Linked DNA regions of Arabidopsis thaliana. The protein of the gene in region 1 interacts with the protein of each later gene in a pairwise test. Each region holds a gene or a part of one and is shown on either strand. Other genes may lie near its edges.

The links.
Region 2: the proteins of DTX1 (region 1) and AT5G50520 interact in a protein complementation assay, tested with the Arabidopsis thaliana proteins (one large-scale study listed by BioGRID).
Region 3: the proteins of DTX1 (region 1) and AT3G62560 interact in a protein complementation assay, tested with the Arabidopsis thaliana proteins (one large-scale study listed by BioGRID).

Annotation. Positions count from the first base shown.
Region 1 is NC_003071.7:1,334,519-1,338,272, reverse strand, and holds the start of DTX1 (MATE efflux family protein), read left to right. Parts: upstream 1-1,722; 5' UTR 1,723-1,792; coding exon 1,793-2,038; intron 2,039-2,126; coding exon 2,127-2,671; intron 2,672-2,762; coding exon 2,763-2,849; intron 2,850-2,930; coding exon 2,931-2,987; intron 2,988-3,079; coding exon 3,080-3,524; intron 3,525-3,608; coding exon 3,609-3,659; 3' UTR 3,660-3,754. Other genes in the region: AT2G04050 (MATE efflux family protein), read left to right, coding at 1-66, 152-208, 285-729, 837-887. UniProt on the Arabidopsis thaliana protein: Efflux carrier for plant-derived alkaloids, antibiotics, heavy metal and other toxic compounds. Involved in cadmium detoxification. Requires probably a proton-motive force for the efflux.
Region 2 is NC_003076.8:20,569,867-20,573,620, reverse strand, and holds the start of AT5G50520 (Major facilitator superfamily protein), read left to right. Parts: upstream 1-1,964; 5' UTR 1,965-2,033; coding exon 2,034-2,375; intron 2,376-2,571; coding exon 2,572-3,386; intron 3,387-3,475; coding exon 3,476-3,754. Other genes in the region: AT5G50530 (CBS / octicosapeptide/Phox/Bemp1 (PB1) domains-containing protein), read left to right, coding at 1-10, 135-201, 360-465, 556-614, 764-873, 952-1,070, 1,163-1,248, 1,330-1,419 and 1 more.
Region 3 is NC_003074.8:23,135,425-23,139,178, forward strand, and holds AT3G62560 (Ras-related small GTP-binding family protein), read left to right. Parts: upstream 1-1,861; 5' UTR 1,862-2,114; coding exon 2,115-2,243; intron 2,244-2,355; coding exon 2,356-2,487; intron 2,488-3,135; coding exon 3,136-3,456; 3' UTR 3,457-3,721; downstream 3,722-3,754. Other genes in the region: AT3G62550 (Adenine nucleotide alpha hydrolases-like superfamily protein), read left to right, coding at 770-941, 1,030-1,139, 1,365-1,483, 1,563-1,650.

The DNA.
Region 1 (3,754 bases):
GCTACTCATACTCTGTTCAGGTCTTCTCCCAAACCCGAAACTCGAGACCTCTGTTCTTTCAATTTGGTAAATATATATCATATAACGACTTCTTTTTATTTTTATTATCCTCTTTACTAAAAACTAATGAATCTTATTTCTTTAATGCAAGTCTTACAACAGCAAGTTTGCACTATGTGATTCCAGGTGGAGTCGCGGCGGCTGTGAGGTATGAACTCAAATTTTTAACCAAACATATTCAACATCTTCTTCCTAAACAATAATAGTCATTTGGTTTCTTGCAGCACACGCGTGTCAAACAAATTGGGAGCTGGGATTCCTCAAGTTGCTAGGGTTTCAGTATTGGCAGGGCTTTGTCTCTGGCTTGTAGAGTCAGCTTTCTTTAGCACACTTCTCTTCACATGCCGAAACATTATAGGCTACGCATTCAGCAACAGCAAAGAAGTTGTGGACTATGTGGCTAACCTAACTCCTTTGCTCTGCCTCTCCTTTATCCTCGACGGTTTCACAGCAGTTCTGAATGGGGTTGCAAGGGGAAGTGGTTGGCAACACATTGGAGCTTTGAACAACGTGGTAGCTTATTATCTTGTAGGAGCTCCTGTTGGAGTATACTTAGCTTTCAATCGTGAGTTGAACGGAAAAGGACTTTGGTGTGGTGTTGTGGTCGGATCCGCTGTGCAAGCCATAATATTGGCTTTTGTCACAGCTTCCATAAATTGGAAGGAACAGGTAAAACACTTAGAATAGAAGATTCGTCATTTTAGCATGTTATACTTGTACATTCTTTTTTGTTCTTTCTTTAATACTATGAAGTAATTTTAATCTATGATTTGCAGGCTGAGAAGGCTAGGAAGAGAATGGTCTCTAGTGAAAATAGATTGGCTTAAACTAAGGATGTTTCTGAGAGCTATCTCAAACTATTTTTGTAGGTGTTGAGCAAATTTTTATGTATGGTATATTAATGTGTTAAAAAATGTTCTTACAAAATAATTTATATGTATGATTTTTTCTCAGCCTATCTTTTTCACTATGTTGTGTAACTTGTAAGTGTATAATCATCATTTATCCATAAACATGCTTTTCTTAATTTTTTCACATGTCATTCCCAATAAATTTATTTTATGGTATTTGTGACTATAACCACAATCTTCTACCAATAAATCTTAGTGAACCCTTTCCGAGAGAGCTTTTAGGCTCATAATACAATACTATTCAGATTTTGAAACTCGGACCTTCACGACAAATCTCTGACGAAACTTTGGATTCTACTTGAGAGCGGCTGTCACTTTTAGTTTCAACCACAAATGATTTACTAAAACCTGTGTAAAATCAGATCCAAATGTCTTTAAAGTGGTCTAAAGAATCAAAACTTAAGGTAAGCAAATTACTTAAATTAGAGTCAAACTTTAGGACTATATAAAAATATAAAAATCCACAAAAGTAATTAATACAAGATTGAATGTTCAAACTCTACAAAACAAAATAATTCATATTAGTCTTCAGTCTTCACATATGTTCTTATGTAAATAATTAAAAAGTATTAACACTAATGACATGTCATTTTTAATATGTATATTCTATATATCTATTTTTATAATATAGTATATTCGTGTGCCACTAGTATCTATATTTTCAAACAAGTCAAAACGAATTTGCTTCTTTACTCATCATATCTACTTCGTCACCACGTTTGTAGTTCAAGTTGCCTTTGTTGTTTATTGACTTAGTCGGTCTATAAAGATAGGATAAATATCATCTTAAAATCAAAGGGAAAGGCCTTCAACGTTAAACAATGGAGGAGCCATTTCTTCTGAGAGACGAGCTTCTAGTCCCTTCTCAAGTCACATGGCATACAAATCCATTAACCGTCGAGCTAAAGAGAGTGAGCCGCTTGGCCGCTCCTATGGCCACTGTGACCATTGCTCAGTACTTATTGCCTGTCATCTCGGTCATGGTCGCTGGCCACAACGGCGAGCTCCAGCTCTCCGGTGTCGCTCTTGCAAACTCCTTCACAAACGTCACCGGTTTTAGCATTATGGTAATTATGCTATGACTCTAACCTTTTCAACTCAAGAATCAAATGGACTCTCTCAAGTATTGAAAACACTTCAATTATTTTTGTGCAGTGTGGATTAGTGGGTGCACTTGAAACTCTTTGTGGCCAAGCTTATGGAGCCAAACAATATGAAAAAATCGGAACTTACGCATACTCTGCTATTGCTTCCAACATACCAATTTGTTTCCTCATATCAATTCTCTGGCTTTACATCGAAAAGATCTTGATTTCTCTCGGACAAGACCCTGAAATTTCAAGAATCGCTGGCTCCTACGCCTTTTGGCTTATACCGGCTTTATTTGGCCAAGCGATTGTCATACCACTGTCCCGGTTTCTGCTAACACAAGGGTTGGTTATTCCTCTGCTCTTCACTGCCGTGACCACCCTTTTGTTCCACGTTTTGGTTTGTTGGACTTTGGTTTTCTTGTTTGGTCTGGGATGTAATGGACCTGCCATGGCTACAAGTGTGTCTTTCTGGTTTTACGCTGTGATACTCTCATGTTATGTGAGATTCTCCAGCTCTTGCGAGAAGACTCGCGGATTTGTATCCCGAGATTTTGTGTCTTCTATCAAGCAGTTCTTCCAATACGGAATCCCATCAGCTGCAATGATTTGGTAAGTCATTTTAAGTTGTTTGTCCGTCAAGTTACATACCCTAATGCTCTTCTTCTTATCCCGCTTGCATTTTCTCGGTCTTCTTTAATAGTCTAGAATGGTGGCTATTTGAGATACTCATACTCTGCTCAGGTCTTCTCCCTAACCCGAAACTCGAGACCTCTGTTCTTTCAATTTGGTAAGTACCATAGAAGGACTTCTTTTTATCTTTTGTGGTCTCTTTACTAAAAACTAATGAATCCTGTTTCCTTCTTTTCAGTCTTACAATAGAAACTTTGCACTATGTGATTTCAGCTGGAGTCGCCGCGGCTGTGAGGTATGAATATGATCTCAGTTTTATCATTCAGAACATCTTCATCTTATTATAGACAATTCTTTCCTAAACATTTAGTGATTGGTTTCTTGCAGCACACGTGTATCAAACAATTTGGGAGCTGGGAATCCTCAAGTTGCTAGGGTTTCAGTATTAGCAGGGCTTTGTCTCTGGATAGTAGAGTCAGCTTTCTTTAGCATACTTCTATTCACCTGCAGGAACATCATAGGATACGCATTCAGCAACAGCAAAGAAGTTTTGGACTATGTAGCTGACCTAACTCCTTTGCTCTGCCTCTCCTTTATCCTCGACGGCTTCACAGCAGTTCTAAATGGAGTTGCTAGGGGAAGTGGTTGGCAACACATTGGAGCTTGGAACAATACTGTTTCTTATTATCTTGTAGGAGCTCCTGTTGGAATTTACTTAGCTTTCAGTCGTGAGTTGAACGGAAAAGGACTGTGGTGCGGTGTTGTGGTTGGATCTACTGTGCAAGCCACTATACTGGCTATTGTCACAGCTTCCATAAATTGGAAGGAACAGGTAAATAGCCATTTCAGCTTTTTACACTTGTAAATTCTTTTATGTTCATTCATTAATGCTATGAAGTAATCTATGATTTTGCAGGCTGAGAAGGCAAGGAAGAGAATTGTCTCAACTGAAAACAGATTGGCTTAAACAAATGATGTTTCTCATAGTTATCTCAAACTATTTGTATGCCTTATGCAAATTTTTTTTGAAAGATGTTTATAAAAGAGGGTCATTTGTTTTCT
Region 2 (3,754 bases), on another chromosome or scaffold:
GGATTCTAACGTAAGTGTCATATTTGGCCCCTTGTCTTCTTTTTCGTTTCTATGGTTCTGAAATTTTTTCTCTACAATATCATGTTTTAATCTTTTCTAGTGGAACTTTGATCTTAAATTGTGATTTTTGTTAGCTCAAAGGACATCTTGATGCGGGTGATATCCCAAAACCTTCCTCAAGAGACAACTACTGTGGAGAAGGTAAAGTTTTCGTTAAGTTCGTGTTTTCGCTATATATGTATGTATGCTTATGCTCGTTAGTTTTGAATCTGGTTGAAATTATTCTTTTCAACTCTTAGATTTATATGAGTACTCATTTTTCGTCTTTGTTGTTTCTTTTCAATCCCATTATTCTATAGGTTATGACACCGAATCCAGAATCTGCAACAGTTGATATGGCAATTGTTGAAGCCTTACATATCATGCATAATGGCAAATTTCTGCATCTTCCTGTATTGGATAAAGGTAACAAAATGTCCTCAAAACTGACTTTGAGCTATAAAGTATGAAGCATTGTTATTTCAACACTTGTCTAATGTTGATGATTACATACAGATGGAGATGTTGTCGCTGTTATTGATGTGATCCACATAACTCATGCTGCTGTTACTACGGTACACTTTTTTTCTTCTATTATTCTCTTCTAGTTGAAGTCGAAAACATGAGACAAGATCGATAAACAATCCGAGAGAAGAAAGAACATGATATATTTGTTGCATACTATTCTTGTTTTGCTATAAACTCTTTATTTCCTTTTGACAAGGCTGGAAGTACGGCTGGAATAAACAATGAGACAGCAAACTCAATGATGCAAAAGTTTTGGGACTCTGCTATGGCTTTGTCTCCTAACGAAGATGGCGATGAAACGAGGAGGTTTCTACTCATATTCCTTTGAACCATTTAGTTTTGACCATAAGGTGGTTTCTTAAACTGGATCATATGATTTTTCAGTGAAGAAGAGTCGATGAAATTATCTTCGGAGATAGAAGTAACAAAATCATTTTCATATCCCAACACATTTGCTTTTAAACTCCAAGATAAAAAGGGACGAATGCATAGATTTATGTGTGGTACGTTAAATCATAACTCTTGAGAAACAGGACACCTATTATGCCAATGCTGCTTAGTCCATTAACCTTTTGTTTTTACTTTTCAATAACAGAAACACAGAGTTTGACAACTCTGATAACAGCAATCCTACAAAGAATGGGGGATGACATTGAGCCTGATAACTTGCCTCAGATAATGGTACATATTTATTCGAAAACTTATTAAACGAGAAGATAGGAAAAATTTTCTTCTTTTGTTGACATATTTTGTGTTGTGTAGTACGAAGATGAAGACAATGACAAAGTTGTTTTAGCATCAGATAATGATCTTGGAGCTGCTGTAGAACATGCAAAATCAATAGGCTGGAAGGTAATAAATTGTACATCCATACTTATTGTCAATTAGTGTAAAGAACTAGGATGAAATGATACCTTAAATCCGCGGTCTCGTTTTGGTTAATGTGGATTTTGGGCTAAAGAAGAGTATATTTGGGTTGGGGATTCCAAATGGTGCAGGGTTTAAAATTGCATTTGGACTACACAGAAGAAAGAGGGCACAGGAGAGGTCTAAGTTCAGAGGATATGGACTACGACCAGTCAAACTCATGGGCAGCCGCTTACAAAACGGTTGCAGCCGGGGCTGCTCTTGCTGCTGGACTTGGAGTTTTGGTGTACCTTAAGCGCAACTCAAACTAACAGATTCATTTTGGGGAGATACAAAAGTGAATGCTTTTGCAAACCAATTTTTAAACCTAAGCTTGTGAAGTGTATACCTCTTCATTGATTCGTGTTTTTTTTTTTTTTTTATCTTGTTGCTTATTTGTTTCTCAACCTTACACATGAATTGTATATAAATAAGTAAACATTTTATTTGTATTTACGGTGTTGTCCAAACTTTTCTTTGAAACTGAAAATTACAAAATAAGTAATCATATGAATCAACGAAAAAAAAAAAGAAATAGAAAGTTTTGAGAGCGTTTGACTATGATGACTTTGTGGCGTCACAAACTAGAGCTCCTAGTCAACGACCGATGGCTAGTTTTCGTCTGCGCCATGTGGGTCCAATCCGTCGCCGGCGTTGGCTATCTATTCGGCGGCTCTATGTCTCCGGCAATCAAGACTTCCCTTGGCTACAATCAGAAACAGATCGCTCTTCTCGGCGTAGCTAAAAACCTCGGTGACGCCATCGGATTCGTCTCCGGTGCTTTATCTGAAGTCTCACCTTCCTGGGTGGTTCTACTCGTCGGTGCAACTCAGAACCTTTTCGGCTACGGTGTTGTTTGGCTCGTCGTCACTGGCCAATTGCCTAATTTGCCTCTCTGGATGGTGAGATGAATTTTACAAATCAAAATTGCTTACACATTTGCGATTTCGTTAGTAATTGTGCTTTGCTTTTGATTATTTGTACGATTCTCTAATTTTGGCTTGAACTTCCAGATATTCAAAAAAAAAAAAAAAAAAAGATGTTAAAGCTTACATATGAGTGTGATCCTGCTTGATTCTGGTTTATTTGTTCATGTAGTTGTTTGTTGCTATATTCGTGGGAACAAATGGGGAAACATACTACAATACAGCGTCGCTTGTGTCATGCATTCATAACTTCCCAGAAAGCCGAGGTCCTGTGGTGGGAATCCTGAAAGGGTTTTCTGGCTTGAGTGGAGCAATCTTGACTCAGGTTTATTTGATGTTCAACCCTTCTCATGATTCTTCGGTTATTCTCATGGTTGCTCTTGGACCACCAGTCGTGGTTCTTGCTCTACTATTTATTGTTAGACCCGTGGAAAGAAGTTGCAGAACGAACTTGCGATCTGATGATTTAAGATTCCTGGCTATTTACGGTTTCTGTGTTGTCCTTGCGGTATATTTACTAGGATTGTTGGTACTTCAGAGTGTTTTTGATATGACTCAAACGATTATCACAACCTCTGGAGCCATCCTTGTCATTTTCATGGTTGTTCCAGTTCTTGTCCCTTTTTCATCGGTTTTCATCTCGGGTAATAATGTCACCTCAGTGAAGCCTGAAGAAGGAACTTCCAATGTGGATCAGCATGAGGCTAGAACTTTAATTGAGAGAAGTGACAGACCGCCGGAAAAGAAAAGAGCGCCGTGTATAGGAGAAGATTTCACCTTGTTACAAGCTTTGGGACAAGCTGACTTCTGGCTTATATTTATGTCTCTGGTTCTAGGTGTAGGTTCGGGAATCACGATTATAGACAATCTTGGTCAGATTTGTTATTCCCTCGGGTACAGCAACACCAAAATATTTGTCTCACTGATCAGCATCTCCAATTTTCTCGGCCGTGTTGCTGGTGGCTACTTCTCTGAGCTAATCATAAGGTACAAAACCCTTAACCATTTCACTTTCGCTTTTAAGAAGCATCTGTGTTTTTTACTGACAGATTCATCTCTTTCTGCCTCTTCAAAAGGAAACTCTCACTTCCAAGAACGTTGGCAATGTCTGTGGTTCAGGCGATAATGTCTTTGGGGCTCATCTACTATGCCATAGATTGGCCAGGGAAGATCTACGTAGTGACCATTGTGATAGGAATGGGTTATGGCGCTCATTGGGCGATTGCTCCTGCTTCAGTCTCTGACATTTTTGGCCTGAAGAGCTTCGGTTCTCTTTACAATTTCCAGATTACAGCTTTGCCTATTGGGTCATTTGTGTTCTCAGGTGTGATCGCTAGTAACATCTATGACTACTA
Region 3 (3,754 bases), on another chromosome or scaffold:
TAATTTTGACCCATTAAAGGCCCATTGATCTGGTCACATATAACCATTGGGTCCACCAGGAGCATTAAAGCTCAAACGCATAAAGAATTTTTATTTTTTAGTTGGAAGGTATCTGTATGCATCTTATCTTCGTTTTAGGGTCGTGATATTTTCTCAAGTTTTTCTTAGGGGACCAATTTATTTTTAGATTTATTTGATTCTATCTTACATTTCTCTTAGTTCACGTTGTCTTTGTATACGTGTTTATGGATATTACATAACTGAAAATCAAGATCAGTCAATCAGTGTAACATCAATCATCAATAACCCTGCGGGATGTATATAAAACTAAGGGATATATGAGGAAAATCAGATTCCAGATTAAGTTCATAAATATTGATTCACCTAAAATCTATAATAACATAGTAGTTCAGAAGCATGAAATAATTCTATAAAAAATCATGAATTATCTACATAAAAATATCGCATATTGTAGATAAGAGTCACCCCTGAAAGAAAAACGATAGTTTTCTGTATTTGGTTATCAATCAATCCTATGTGGGTTTATATCTTATCTAATGTAAAAATTACACAAAGGATAGTGTCTGCAAATATCTAAATGAAAACACTTAATTCCAAAATGAGAAATCAAGTGGGTTTTGCCTAGCTAATTGTATAAATAGTAACACAATCATAATCTCTTCTTCCATCAGGTCTTCTTCATAATATATTTCTTCTCTAATAATTGAAAGCAAAAGAAAACAGTTTTTTTTTTTAGAAAGGTAAAGAAATGGAGGAAACAAAGGAGAGAAAGATAGTAGTAGCAGTAGACGAAAGCGAAGAGAGCATGGAAGCTCTGTCATGGAGTCTTGACAATCTTTTTCCATATGGTTCCAATAATACACTCATCCTCCTCTACGTCAAGCCCCCTCTTCCCGTTTACTCTTCCCTCGATGCCGCAGGTTAGTCCTCGTTCTTTCACGATTCATATCTTTCCCTAATTATAATCTGTTCACTTTAGTTATAGATTTTTGTTTGGTCGATTTCCAGGGTTTATAGTGACAGGAGACCCGGTTGCAGCTTTGAAGAAGTATGAATACGAGCTCGTGGAATCGGTCATGGCTCGGTCTCGAACCGTGTACCAAGATTATGAGTCTGATGTAAGCTTATTTCTATCGATTTTTTATCACTTAATTTGCTGGATTATACTTGCTTAAAAAACTTGAGAAATTATGAGAAAGTGAATTTAATCAAGTAGTTATGAGTTAATCTGTTTATCATGAGCAATATTTAGTACAAAAAATATAACATATGATAAGCAAAATATGGTTGTTTTCAAAGAGAGTTGGCGAAATAAATGTAAATATAACCAAATTAATGTGCAGATTAATATAGAGAGACGAGTTGGAAGAGGAGATGCTAAGGAAGTTATATGCAACGCAGTTCAGAAACTTAGAGTTGATATGTTAGTAATGGGCACTCATGACTATGGCTTCTTCAAAAGGTAAGGTTTCAATCTCTTATAAGAAACAAAAATATTTTGGTTTAATGGTTATTTGATAATCATTTGATATATTTGATAGGGCTTTGCTAGGGAGTGTGAGCGAGTATTGCGCCAAACGAGTCAAGTGTCCTGTGGTTATCGTCAAGAAGCAAGCTCAAGATAATTAAGCTCATATGATTGCATTGTGTATATGTTTCGAAAGAACTGGTGTAACACTTGAATCAATCTTCGTATGCGATAATAAAATACATAACGGTTTAAACAAATTTAGCAGATATTTTTGCTTATATAAAACTAGCTGACAATGACATCAATCAACCAATTAAATTCAAATCTACATTCTCTACATACAATGCCAAATTAAAAACTAATGTAAACGCAAATTTCAATTTAACGTATAGAAGAATGTAATGAACCATATACCAAGTTTTGAATATTTGCAATTTTGTTGTTTGAACACTTAATTGTTGTTCGCTTCAAAGTTCAATAAAGGCCTCAAGGCCCAAAGTATATCTGTTACTCATCCAGTCGACACAGTCATACTTAAACGTCGCCGTTTCCGTGTTCGAAGCTTCGTGAAAATCTTCAATCTCGCGAGAGAGAAGAAGAAGAAGAAGAAGAAGAAGAAGCGATGTTCCTGGTGGATTGGTTCTATGGAGTTCTGGCAACTCTGGGACTATGGCAGAAAGAAGCGAAGATTCTGTTTCTAGGTCTCGACAACGCCGGCAAAACCACCTTGCTTCACATGTTAAAGGACGAGGTTCGTTTTCTTCGAGCCATATCAGTAATCGCTGTCTAGAATCTTGTTTCTTTTACTTAGCGCGAACGAATCAAAGTCTTAATCAGCGATAATCGTTTGATTTGGGTTTCAGAGACTGGTCCAGCATCAGCCGACACAGCATCCGACATCGGAAGAGCTTAGTATCGGCAAAATCAAGTTCAAAGCCTTCGATTTGGGAGGTCATCAGATTGCTCGTAGAGTCTGGAAGGACTATTACGCTAAGGTTTGATCTTCTTTCTTCTTTGGATTTTATTGTTAGGTCAATCAATTTAGCAAGTCTTTGGAAGGACTATTGCGCTCGTATAGTTGTATGTAGACTCTAAGCTGACTCTGTTATAGATTACAATCTTCCCTGTGCCCATATAAACAATAGTTAGATGATAGAGGTGAAGTGAAATCTTCAATGAAGTTTGTCATATAGCAATTCTCTTTTGAATGTTGCAGCATGAGGTCCTGTGATTACATTCTGCTGGTTATGTGTACCTAGTAAGCTCTTGCTGTGTACTACTCCTACTCTGTTCCTTAGCCACTGTGTTGCTCCGTTGGGTTATATAAGTTTGCAGATGATAGTTTGAAATGATTGAGCTATAGTAAAATCTTCAGATGATAGATATACATATACATCATATACTGTAGTTTAAAATGACATTGTGATTGGTATGTGGAGCCAGTGGAGGTTGAAAATTAGAAGATTGTATAGCTATAGACTACTCTTACTGTCAGTTTTAGAGTCATGAGGTCCCTTGTGATTTACATTCTCATAGCTGATGATTCCAGTGAATCAAGAGATTAATAGACTCCGGTGTTTCTATTAGCTACCCTCTTTGCATTCTATCTTCAAGTTTGTAACTTTATTATTGTCTCGTATTAGGTTGATGCAGTGGTATACCTAGTTGATGCATATGACAAAGAGAGGTTTGCAGAATCAAAGAAAGAGCTTGACGCTCTTCTCTCTGATGAATCCCTAGCAAATGTCCCTTTCCTCATCCTTGGAAACAAAATCGACATTCCGTACGCTGCATCAGAAGACGAGCTGCGTTATCATCTAGGCCTCACCAGTTTCACCACTGGGAAAGGTAAAGTGAATCTAGCAGGAACAAATGTTCGTCCTCTTGAGGTGTTCATGTGCAGCATTGTCAGAAAGATGGGTTACGGCGAAGGATTTAAATGGGTTTCTCAATATATCGACTAGATCAATCATATTTAAGTCTTATCTATCTATACTGTGTGATTGGTATCTGTACGTGTTATAACCTAATGTATAATTACGATTAATGTGTGTATACAACAAGATTTGACGGCTTTTAAATTATCAATTTTGTGTTTACAGACCAAAGTTGAATCCTATGAAAAGTGTGAACCCATTTGTCTGTGACTGTGTAACTGTGTGGGGCTTAAGAAATGGCTGTATCTTAGCTTTTTTATGAAAATTCGAAAGATGAACACTTTTACTTTAATAATGTAATGTAGAGAAAACCCCATGTGAATCG